2 linked regions of the Macaca mulatta genome follow. The protein of the gene in region 1 purifies or fractionates together with the protein of each later gene. This does not show direct contact. Links are inferred from orthologs where the notes say so. Each region holds a gene or a part of one and is shown in the gene's direction. Other genes may lie near its edges.

Evidence for each region. The genes of interacting proteins can lie anywhere in the genome.
Region 2: the proteins of CDC123 (region 1) and EIF2S2 purify together in Homo sapiens (affinity purification with mass spectrometry; 4 studies listed by BioGRID and IntAct, counting the BioPlex papers as one, with this or other methods). This does not show direct contact. The link is inferred for Macaca mulatta from reciprocal best matches to the Homo sapiens genes CDC123 and EIF2S2.

The regions. Positions count from the first base shown.
Region 1 is NC_133414.1:13,748,076-13,754,695, forward strand, and holds the start of CDC123 (translation initiation factor eIF2 assembly protein), read left to right. Parts: upstream 1-2,987; 5' UTR 2,988-3,226; coding exon 3,227-3,300; intron 3,301-5,625; coding exon 5,626-5,697; intron 5,698-6,620. UniProt on the Homo sapiens protein: ATP-dependent protein-folding chaperone for the eIF2 complex. Binds to the gamma subunit of the eIF2 complex which allows the subunit to assemble with the alpha and beta subunits.
Region 2 is NC_133415.1:86,856,497-86,862,524, reverse strand, and holds the end of EIF2S2 (eukaryotic translation initiation factor 2 subunit 2), read left to right. Parts: intron 1-656; coding exon 657-713; intron 714-4,150; coding exon 4,151-4,236; exon of another isoform or gene 4,237-4,845; coding exon 4,846-5,021; 3' UTR 5,022-5,325; downstream 5,326-6,028.

The DNA.
Region 1 (6,620 bases):
CCAGCTACTCAGGAGGCTGAGGCAGGAGAATGGCGGGAAACCGGGAGGCGGAGCTTGCAGTGAGCCGAGATCGCACCACTGCACTCCAGCCTGGGTGACAGAGCGAGACTCCGTCTCAAAAAAAAAAAAAAAAAAAAGAACCACTTATAATAGTCCAGGCAGGACATAACAGGTCTGGAGTAGAGTGGTAGCAGTGGCAAGGTGACATTTAATTTCCATGAAGATGGTTTTAAGGGAGACTGGGACATCGGAAGAAAAAAGGGGTGATGCAGGGCTCAAATCTGTACACACTATGTTTGAGATGATGGCAGACATCCAGGTGAAGAAAACTGGCAGACAGGTGAAAATATTAATCTAGGATGATTAGTCATGCTACGGATTCAGAGAAGGAAATGTGGTTTTTCATTACTTCATTAGGAATTGCACAATAAATCTCCTCCTCCATAATCACATGATTACTGACTTTTCAGCATGCAGGAGGAAAAGCAACTATTTCCACTGTCGAAAGGTTTTATTGGAGAAACTTGATGAATACAATGATTTCATGGCTTAGTGAAGACAACCACAGTGGTTAAAATACACGGAACGCTTATTTAGCTGTATCCATTCAAAGTATTTGAGCATCTCCTATTTATAATGTCAGTTTATTTGATGCTAGTTAAATGTGTAACAAGTTACTTAAAACCAACTGTAATACTAAAAAGTCACTGAACACACCTCTAAAGTATACAGCCTGAATAAAAGGTATTTATAAAAATTCCTTCCCTGTAGTATCTATATATTTAAGCTTACAAACTTAGCTGCTTTTCTACACACAACTGCAATTCTATATTAAAGCTTTGCAACTGCCTTAACCTCTACATTCTTTTTTTTTTTTTTTCCCCCGAGACAGAGTCTTGCTCTGTTGCCCGGCTGGAGTGCAGTGGCACGATCTCGGCTCATCGCAACCTCCGCCTCCCGGATTCAAGCGATTCTCCTGCTTCAGCCTCCCGACTAGCTGGGACTACAGGCATGCGCCAACACGCCCGGCTAATTTTCGTAATTTTAGTAGGGACGGGGTTTCGCCATGTTGGCCAGGCTGGACAAACTCCTAACCTCAGGTGATGCACCCGCCTCGGCCTCCCAGAGTGCTGGGATTACAGGCATGAGGCACCGCAACCGGCCTATGCTCAAATGTTTCTTGGGCTGTTAAAGTACTGCTCCTCGCGGAAGCGCTAATGTTCCCGGGATCTGTTTTCTTCCGCACATTTACTCCTATCTTCATTAGAAAACATCTGACCTAAATAAATCCCCCAAAGATGCTGACATCTCCTTCCGCTGCAATTTTTTACTTTCTAAGTCAAATCGAAACAATTATTTGAGCGACCGCTCCTGCCTGCCATTAAGTCTTTCTACCACCACCCTCCAGACATATATACAATATTGCTTCTCTCCCTCAAAACAGAAAGGACTGCATAATTCCAGATCAAGGCATAAATGAACCATTACTGTCCAACCCCCACCAACATACCTTGCAATATTATAATCTATTTACCTCTGCTTTGAAAATGTTATTCTTTAAAGCACTGCTTCCAACTAGCCACTTAGCCAGTAACATTTTTGAGAAAAACAAAACAAAACCTAAAACAATGTATATATTCCTGGGGGGAAGAGTTTCTAACTCAAAATAGGCAGAGAATTCTGTTTATTATTCTAAGGAATACCCTTCTGAAGAGGCCTACGGTCCGTGGGGCAGTTTCTAATTTAAAACTGCTTAGGTGGACGAGGAAGAATGTACATTTAAGGAGATATCTTTAGACATAGATACCTCGCGCAAGCCAAATGCTCGTAGGGTAAGCGACACGACTAGGGGTTAAAAGCGGCTGGCTGGTAGGCCGGGCGCGGTGGCTCACGCCTGTAAGCCCAGCACTTTGGGAGGCTAAGGCGGGCAGATCACCTAAGGTCAGGAGTTCGAGACCAGCCTGGCAAATATGGCGAAGCCCCGTCTCTACTAAAAATACAAAAATCAGCCGGCGTGGAGGCGCGCGCGCTCTCAGCTACTCGAGAGGCTAAGGCAGGAGAATCACTTGACCCCGGGAGGCGGAGGCTGCAGTGAGCCGAGATTGCGCCACTACACTCCAGCCTGGGCACAGAGTGAGACTCCGTCTCAAATAAATAAAAGCAGCTGGTTACTTCTCATTCTCTTTAACGAAACAAACAAAACTGAACTTTGCTGGGTGACAGGAGTGAAGCAAAGGAAAAAAGAAGGATAGTACAAGTTCGATTCGAATTCTTCCAGTCTTATGATTCGATCACTGCAGGAATACTGATAAAAATCTGCGTTTTTCCCAGCTTGATAACTTTTGCGAGGCCAGACTAAACGAATACAACGCTCAAAGGAGACAAGTCTCCTTTTTCCTCCGCTTTCTCAAATTTACCTCTCGCCTTTTCCCTCCCAAAGTCGAACCCCCCCAGGATCGTACAGGCGATATTCCCTCTACCAAGCATTCTACTCCTCTGCAGATGCTGCAACCTTTACACTGGAACCAACACTTAGCTGTGGTGCTCCCCGCTTTCTTTACTCGGAGTAGCCCAGGCTCCTCCGCTCCAATCCCCAGTTTCCCTCTTGGGCGCCTGGACGCGTGCCCAGCCGCAGCCTGAGAGACACCGCGCGGCTGCACGCACCATGCAGATGTGCTCCCTTTCCCCTTCTACTTCTCCTCCCCAAAGAGATTTTGTGTTGTGACTGGCCTGTCCCGGTTACTTACTCCAAGATGTAGGGGTGAAGAACGGAAGAGGACGAAATAACTAGCTGGAGGCAGCAGTGTCAGCCGATGCCGGTGCCACGATTCGAGACACCGGCGCCTCTCGCGGTGCTAACAGGATGGGCGCGCGCCCTCCTCCCGGCATCCGTAGAATCCCCGCCTTTGACCTAGCTCCAGGTGATTACTTTCCGGGTCAGTGTGTGTCTAGGGCAAAAACGGAGTTGTAAACTTCTTAAAATTCCTCTCTCAACATTTCAGTAATTCCTCTTTCGAGACCAAAGCTCTTTTTGTGTGCGTGTGTGTCAAGCGTATGCCCCGGGATTGTCCTTCTCCGCTTCCCTTTCTCGGTGTTCCTTCTTGCTTTAGGGACCGGAAGAGTCCTTGAACCAAAATAGCTCGGTGGGCACTTCCGGGGCCGGAGCCCAGGGTTCCCGGAGGGTGCAAGCAGGAGAGGGAAAGGCAGCGGCGGCGGCAGCTGGAGAATGAAGAAGGAGCATGTGCTGCACTGCCAGTTCTCCGCGTGGTACCCGCTCTTCCGAGGCGTTACCATCAAGAGGTGAGATGGGAGGGGGTTCGCCCGGCCTACCGGCCAAAGGGAACCGCGACTTGTGAGCGAATCTTACTGCCATCCAAAAAAAATGCAGGCCTTCTAGCGACTGCATGGGAGGGAGTGTGTCGAGAGGCAAGTAGGTAAGCAGTTGTCTGCGTCTTGTTGCAAGCCAGCGAGTGTGCTGGCTAGGAGGGTCAGTTGTGGTTTCAGTGAGGGTCGGAGGCGGGAGGAGTAGTGGATTAACGTAGTTTAGGCTTGGGAGTTCACCACCACTACTTTTAGAATGGCCCCCGGCTCAAGATGATCACTGCCCAAGGCCACCCGGTGGCTTAATTGCTTTTACGCCACCTCCCCAGAGGTTGGAGATTGGGAAGGTGAAAGGATACGTAATTACAGTTAGATACGAGAACAAGTACATAGATCTGTTGTATAGCATAGAGACTATAATGACAATATACGTATAGTATTCGTGAAAAACGGAGAGTGGATGTTAGTATTCTTATCACAAAAATAACTCTGTTAGGCAATGCATTTGTTAGTTAGCTACATTTAACTATTCCACAATGTATAAATACTTCAAAGCATTAGGTAGGCGGCAAGTATTAATATATACAATTTCGTCTCTCAGTTTTTTTAAAGGTGTTTATAGAAAATCTGGGGTTTGCACTTACTGATTTTTTTGAGCCAACGTTTCAGTAATTGCTGATTCATTATATAATGGTTTCATTCAATAAAGATTGGGTATGTACTTGAAAATGTGTAATAGGCTCAGAATGGTCAGTTAAAATGTATAAGAAAAGTTTCAGGTTTTTAAATAGTATTGGAATGTCTAGTAGAACCTTGGATTCATTGTACTTAACAATTTCGTTTGTTAGCTTTGTAAGAGTAAAATACTTAGGAAGGCTTGTTTGTAATCAGCCAATAGACACATTAAAAAAGAAAATTGAGTAGTGTATAAATAGAATTTAAATTTTTAAAGAGACTTTTAAGTTACAAAATTTCACATGAAATTGATTAAAATTTAGTAGATTTTCAAACATAATAAGATTTGTTAGATGAAATTGAAAGCCTGAGGAAGAACTAGATTTTTTTTTTTTTTTTTTTGAGACGGAGTTTTGCTCTGTCGCCCAGGCTAGATTGCAGTGGCAGCGATCTTGGCTCACTACAGACTTCGCCTCTGGAGTTCACGCCATTCTCCTGCCACAGCTTCCCGAGTAGCTGGGACTACAGGCGCCCGCCACCACCCCCGGCTAATTTTTTGTATTTTTAGTAGAGACGGGGTTTCACCGTGTTAGCCAGGATGGTCTTGATTTCCTGACCTCGTGATCCTCCCGCCTCGGCCTCCCAAAGTGCTGGGATTACAGGTGTGAGCCACCGCGCTCAGCCAGAACTAGATTTTTGAATGTGAAATCGTACTTTTGATAAATCAAATATTTATTTTTAAAACCGAAGTAGCCCATGAATACTCTTTTTTTTGTGCACAAAATCATTTGTAATGTGCCAAAAAAAACTTATTCCATAAATAAATGAGACATAAGTCACTGATGTTGTGTTAACTTCCTGAAAGCAGGCTGTAAGCTTTTCCACTTTTTGAAAATGTATATGCCTCAAGATCAAAATAATACCAGCACTCTTAGGTATCTGTGGTAGGGCTTTTTGATAATTTATTATTTCAAGGTAAAAACAAATTATCCCATAAGTTTTTAAGAGACTTCAAATATGACTTTGCCATCCTTAATTATGATTATCTGAAACAAATTAAGCTAAAGCATGCCCAGTTTAAGCAGCTTTTATCTCTGGTGATCAGCTGAATAGAATGACAGCAAGACACATCCGAAAGTATCATGAATTCTTAGCTGTGGGTGCTCATTGCCAACCCAAAAATGGTTTCCAGATCTTGACTCTACTTCTGCCCTCTATCTTTAGAAGGTGACCAAACGCTAGTCATCTTCTGGTTTGTTTTGCTGCATTTCCTGTGTTGCAGCAAATATCTGCTGGTCTCTGATGTCTTAAAGACACAGAAATGTTGTGCTCACTCAGAATCCTTTTGAGCTTGTTGCTTTCATACTGTGATTTCCATCTGATTGTTTGGATTTGGCTGGTTTTTGTGGCAATAAGGTGAACCGCAGTATTTAATCATATTATTCTAATTCCTTGTCTGCTGCTACCAAATATACATCATTAACATTTTCTACTTTATATTAAATACGTTTATATTATATTGAAATAAGTAAATCCAAAATCAATAAAGGGTGAACATTTTTCTCTCTGCTTATAGTTGATCTTTTAAAATGATGCCTTTTTTGGTGTTTTTTTTTTTTTTTTTTTTAGTGTCATTCTTCCACTTCCTCAGAATGTGAAGGATTATTTACTCGATGATGGAACTCTGGTGGTTTCAGGAAGGTAAAGTATTTTAGAAAAAAATTTATTAAACTTTATCATAAAGAAGCACATAAAATGAATGAATTAGCTTAGGCACCATTCTCTCCCTTTAGCTCTTTTTCTCTCCTAGCCAAAATGATGTGCTGATCTTTATCTCATATTCCTTGTCAATGCTTACTTAATATTTCAGCATTAAGTACTTTTCCCTCTAATAATGACAAGTTGTGAAATTGAGCAGTTCCTTTCATCTCCGTCTTTAGAAAACAGTTATGATGACAAGTTTTCCTTCTGAAGGTGGCAGGGTGGGGGAAGTGCACATTAAAATTCTTTGAGATCCTTCAGTTTTGACGATTAAAAATTCATTGTTGCAAATAGAAAGCTTTACTAGGCTTTATCATTTCATTCCTCAACATTTTCTTCCCCACAATTGACCTACCGTGGCCCCACCTCCACTTTCTAGAAGCCGTTCAGGTAGTTTGCCTATTTATAGAATAAAGGGAAGAAGTTACTGTGTTTCAGTCTTTTGGATGCAAACTTGAAAACATTGAAGAATCATAGGATTTAGTGAAGTTCTCATTTTTTCATTCGAATCTGCTCAGAAGTCACGTTATGAGTGTTCAGCCCTCACCAGCCTTTCTAAAATAGCCTGACAGTAACCCTATGCCCTAACCTCCCTTCAGTTTTCTGCATCACACTTACTTCCACCTGACAGTTGTTAATTGTTCCATTAGAATGCAGTTTCATGAAAACAGGGACGTGGCCCATTTGTTCACCCCAGCTGGTGGGACAGTGCCTGATACAGCAGAGGTGCTTGATAAACATGTGTTGGATGAAGGAACTCTAGAAATAGAGTAAGAATTGTGTGTTTTCAGTAACACTAAGCGGACCCCATATTTTTGCCTATTGGGTTTTTAATGTGGTTTTCTGTATTATATTTCTGTTTT
Region 2 (6,028 bases), on another chromosome or scaffold:
AAAAAAAGGTGGTTTTATAGTTATAACTAAGGCCACCTTTGTATGTTTTCCTGGCCCCTTTTTCCTTCCCAGAGGAAGTTGTTACTCTTTAAAGTTGATGTTTATTGTTTATGTTTTCCATCCTTGTTTCTAGACACTTACTCATATGTATATGGTCATAAAATGTAATATGGTCTTATGGGCATTGAAGTTGTAAACAAGTGGTATCCGGCTTGGCTCACACTTCTAATCCTGGCACTTTGGGAAGCTGAAACAGGAGGATCATTTGAAGCCACGAGTTCTGTACCAGTCTGATCAATGTAGTGAGACCCCATGTCTACACAAAACTAAAGAGTTAGACGGCATGGTGGCACACACCTGTAGTCCTAGCTACTTGGGAGGCTGAGATGGGAGGATGGCTTGGACTCAGGAGTTTGAGGTTACAGTGAGCTATGATCATCACTGCACTCCAGCCTGGGCAACACAAGACCCAATCTCTTAACAATAAAAAAAGTGGTGTCATATACTTTATCTTTATTTCAAAGTTTAAATAAACGATGCAGTGAAATTCACCTAATAGCTAAATAATCACAGATCAAAACAATGAACAGATTTTTTAGAAGTTTGGTGAGATTTCCATGAAAGATAAGGTTTATATATTTTGATTTTCTTTTTAGATTACATCGTCAGCCCAAACATCTCCTTGCATTTTTGTTGGCTGAATTGGGTACAAGGTAAGAAACTATATACGTTTACATACAGTATTGCTGGACATTTCATAAGAACCTTTCTTAAAAAGGATATGTAACACACTTAGAGAAAACGTTCACCTGATTATTAGAGAAACTTTTAGGCCAGTGGAGGAGTGAAATCACTTTGTTTCTGTGGGAGAGCTTGACTGCTTAGGAATAGGGCACAGAGTTGACATCTGAACAGGCCTGCTGGTGTACCAATGAGAGGACCACAGAACTGCCATGTTTAGACTTTCCTGTTACTAATTTGAAACTCATGAGTCTTTTTATGGAGCAAATATTAGATCTTTAGAGGAATCAGTTTTTTTAAGGTCAGACTATTTTTTCCTAAATTGGTAACAGGCTATTGAAGAAATACAGCTAGGAAGTTGATGAGTGGCACTTTAGAAACCATTGAAACAGGGATCTGTGATGAAGTAGGTAGTTACCTGTCTTCAGGGCTCACCTTTTGAAGGCACTGAGCACGTCATTCCCACCCATTCAGGAAGGCCAAGATCTCATGGAGCCCATGCCAATGAGTTTGACTACTATCTGGAAGCCTAATGTCCCTTTAAAAATAAGTAATGTAGAGTAGGTTATGATAATGATGACTAATGCATATTGAGCACCTCTTGTGAGCCAAGTGCTTTTTTGGGTGCCATCTCAATTAATCTTCACAATAGTTCTATGAAGTAGAAAGTAATATTCCTGTCTTCATGTTTAGAAACAGGTTCAGTAAAGTGAAGTTGTAGTTGGTCACATAGCTAGCTTGCTTAGTGGCAAAGTCAAGATAGATACAATCAGGTCTATCTTTCCCTGCAGCTTGCATCACCTAACAGGCTTGACACCTGTGCCTCACTGGCAGTACAGAGATAATTAAAGTGTTCTCTTCCTACTCTCTTTAAACTGTTGGGATTTGCTACCCTTGGTGTGGGGTTAAGGAGTAATTTACTTGACCATGGTAGATATGTTGGCTCTGCTGTAGAATAATTGTGTTTTTTTGTTTGTATTTTGAGATGGAGTCTCACTCTGTCACCCAGGCTGGAATGTGGTGATCTCTGCTCACTGCAAGCTCCGCCTCCCGGGTTCACGCCATTCTCCTGCCTCAGCCTCCTGAGTAGCGGTGCCCGCCACCACGCCTGGCTAATTTTTTGTATTTTTAGTAGAGATGGGGTTTCCATGTTAGCCAGGATGGTCTCGATCTCCTGACCTGGTGATCCGCCTGTCTCGGCCTCCCAAAGTGCTGGGATTACAGGCGTGAACCACCGCGCCCGCCGTGTTTTAAATATAAATTTGTTACCATCGTTGTTTGTTTGTAACTTGCACAAACTAATGAAGAAGCAAAAGCTAGTGTTGTTTTTTTCTATCGTTAGAATAATCTAGAGGTTTTGTAGAGGTGGGATAAACTATTATAACAAGTTGTGGCCAGTAAACTTACAGTCAAATGGGTTAAATGGGTTTTTGAGAAAATTCCATTTCTTTTGACAGTGAATGAAAAAAAATTTCTACATTAAGCATTGGAATCACTGTAGCCTGGAGATTAAGGGTTCCAGTCTGTGGAGGAGGAAATTTAACCCTGCCTGACTGAATTCTGTTGTTTCACTTTATGATTTATAATTTTGAATGAATGATATCTAGCCTAGAGCTTTGCTTTCTCAAAAGTGCCTGTCAACAGTTTCCTATCAAACAGTTTATCATTAAGTACCATTGACAGTTTCTGGATTGTGATTCAACTATCCTTTTTTTTTCTTGACACAGCTTGATTGAAATGACAGCTTACAAATTTAAAGTATATAATCCAGGGGAGTCCCACTCGGACATCCGTCTCTTTCGCAAGAGCGAGCGAGCTATTCTCCTTTCTCTCTTGCCTATTAAACCTCTACCCCTGGACACCCCCCCGCCCCCTGCCAAAAAAAATATAAAAATAAAATATACAATCCAATGTTGTTTTGTTTTGTTTTTGAGATGGAGTTGTGCTCTGTCGCCCAGGCTGGAGTGCAGTGGCGCGGATCTTGGCTCACTGCAACCTCTGCCTCCCAGGTTCAAGCAATTCTCCTGTCTCAGCCTCCCCAGTAGCTGGGACTATAGGCACACACCACTACGCCTGGCTAATTTTTTTGTATTTGTAGTAGAGATGGGTTTTTACCGTATTGGTCAGGCTGGTTTCGAACTCCTGACCTCAGGTGATCAGCTTGCCTCGGCCTCCCAAAATGCTGGGATTGCAGGTGTGAGCCACGCCTGGCTCCAGTGGTTTTTAATATCACATGTTAAAATTAATATGTATAACTGCTACCACAATCAATTTTAGTATGTATTTTTATCAACTATACTTTTAACCATGACTGAATCAAAATATTTGGTGCTTAGAATTTTAAAAAACAAATGTAGCCCCTTTCATGTTTTTGTATTTCTAGCTCTCTCCTTTCCCTTACTTTGTACATGGTATGATTCGTAAAAGTTTTTTTTCTTTTGTTGGATGGACTTCACACACAATGAAGGAATCAGTTTGTTTTAGACTTAAAATCAATTATAAATCTGATTGTTACCACTGGAGATTTAATTGGATTTGATGTTAGTATGGGCACATCATTAGACACAACCTGTTTGTTTTTTTTTTTGTTTTTTTTTTTTGAGACAGAGTCTCGCTCTGTCGCCCAGGCTGGAGTGCAGTGGCCGGATCTCAGCTCACTGCAAGCTCCGCCTCCCGGGTTCACGCCATTCTCCTGCCTCAGCCTCCCGAGTAGCTGGGACTACAGGCGCCCGCCACCTCGCCCGGCTAGTTTTTTGTATTTTTTTAGTAGAGACGGGGTTTCACCGTGTTAGCCAGGATGGTCTCGATCTCCCGACCTCGTGATCCGCCCGTCTCTGCCTCCCAAAGTGCTGGGATTACAGGCTTGAGCCACCGCGCCCGGCCTAGACACAACCTGTTTAATTAAAAATAAATTTTGAGGCTGGGCGTGGTGGTTTACGCCTGTAATCCCAAGCGCTTTGGGAGGCCATAGTGGGAGGATCACTTGAGTCCAGTAGTTCGAGACCAGCCTGGGCAACATAGGGAGACTCCTCCATCTCTACCAACAACAACAACAAAAAATTAGCAGTTCATAGTGGGGAGTGCCTGTAGTCCTAGCTCAGTTCACAGTGGGGAGTGCCTGTATCCTAGCTTCTTGGCAGGCTTAGGTGGGAGGATTGCTTGAGCTTGGGAGATTGAAGGTGCAGTGAGCCACGATTGCGCCACTGCACTCAAGTCTGGGTGACAGAATGAGACCCCTGTGTCATAAATAAATAAATAAATTTTGGGAAACTAAGTAGTATAGCACCAGTCGTAGAGTTTATCCTATGCTACTGAATATATTTTAAATTCATTAAGTTTAAAGGTGCTGGAATTTGGTTCCTTTAGAAAAAAACAATAATAATGGAGATATTTTTGTTTTCTTTCATAGTGGTTCTATAGATGGTAATAACCAACTTGTAATCAAAGGAAGATTCCAACAGAAACAGATAGAAAATGTCTTGAGAAGATATATCAGTAAGTGTGTAATTAATTTAATTAGATCACCCTGAAATGTTCTCATCAGGCTGCAGTGTTGTAGGAAGATCCATTTGATTGCAGTGAGCTGGGAAAAGCTGGCCTTAAAAAGATCAGAGACAAAATGATAGTGAAAGGGAGGTGGCTCTTGACTACTAACTAGGGGCATAGGGAAGGATTTGGATTTTTAAAGAAAGCCCAGCTGATTGAAGCTGCTGGTTGATTGTAGGGCTAAAGGCCAAGTCAGAGAAACCTGCCTGTGATTCAGGCCTGGCCTTGGCCCCCTTTTGTTCCTAGTTATTTAAAATTGGCATGTCTGCTAACACGTTTGAGTGGCTCTCCTGTAGACAGAAACAAGAATAAGCAAGCTGGCAGGCTTCCCTGCATCCTGGGGCATTGAGTATCAGCCCATGTTTAGTGCCGGAAACGCCACAGCAAGACAGCTTGTGTTTTCTTACCCCTCGGATAGCTGAGCTTCCCTGGTCTGGGTGCCCAGGTAAATTCTCAGCCTGGGCTTATGGAGTTCTTTGTAGGAGATATATTTAAGAAGGCAGAAACTTCTCTACCTCACTGCGGCCACCAGGTAATTGTGTGTTGCTTTATTTGCAGAGGAATATGTCACTTGTCACACATGCCGATCACCGGACACAATCCTACAGAAGGACACACGACTCTATTTCCTACAGTGCGAAACTTGTCATTCTAGATGTTCTGTTGCCAGCATCAAAACCGGCTTCCAGGCTGTCACGGGCAAGCGAGCACAGCTCCGTGCCAAAGCTAACTAATTTGCTAATCACTGATTTTGCAAAGCGTGTTGTGGAGATGTGGCTGGACAGGTTTGCCATCAGAGTGGATATACCGTTGTATTAAAAACAAGATAAAAAAGCTGCCGAGATTTTTGGCGAGTGGTTGGTTGGTCTGAAGTCCTTGCAAGACGCTGATGTTCAAGCTGTTGACATACTCATTGCCTACTTTTAACACCTGTCAGAGAAACGTGATATGGGGTAAGGAGGTGCTTTTTTAAAATCGTTCATAGACTTCTGTAAAATGCAAGATAAATTAAAGTTATTATAACAGTGATTCTTTCAATTTGGTTTGTCCTTCAGTTTTCTTTTCTATAAAAATTGTGCTTGGTGAAATCAGCAAAAAACCAACCACAGAAAACTGTGTGGGCCTGGGCTCTGACAGTCTCTGTATCCTTGTCCTGAGAAACTGGACAGGCACTTCATCTGGGCAGCCATTTCTCTTCTTCTCTGCTTCTCTTGAGATACATAGTTAAAGCAGACACGGCCTCCCACGCGTGTGTGGTGGGACCTTGAGACTTGGGAGGACTGCCTGTTTTCAGTGTCCAGGGAATGACTCCATAGATTTGACTTCTTTTCCCTATGTGAGGATGGTTGCTACTACCTCACCGCCAAGTCCTCCCCCAGCTGTTACCACATGAAGGAATACAAGGTGCTAGGTACCCTCCTTCCTCGTTGACCACTAAGAGGTCTTAGAAACATAGCCTGTAAATGTGTCTTATAACTGGCACACTAAGAAGGATCCTAGTTGAGCATCTCTGTTGGTGAGGAAGCAATGTATGTGCGGTTCAGGAAACTCCTCCAAGAGGAGTCCAAACAGGGATGCTAGAGGAAGCTTTCTGTTTTCCTAGCCAACTTGTGTTCTGGGTTTGAAAAAGACCCACCACAAATGCTTTTCTATTTTCTGATTTAAAAGTTGCTTTTGAATATGACCATGAGAAACCAAGAAATGCTGCTTGTGTGGTGCTCTGCTTCCTGAGGATTTGCTG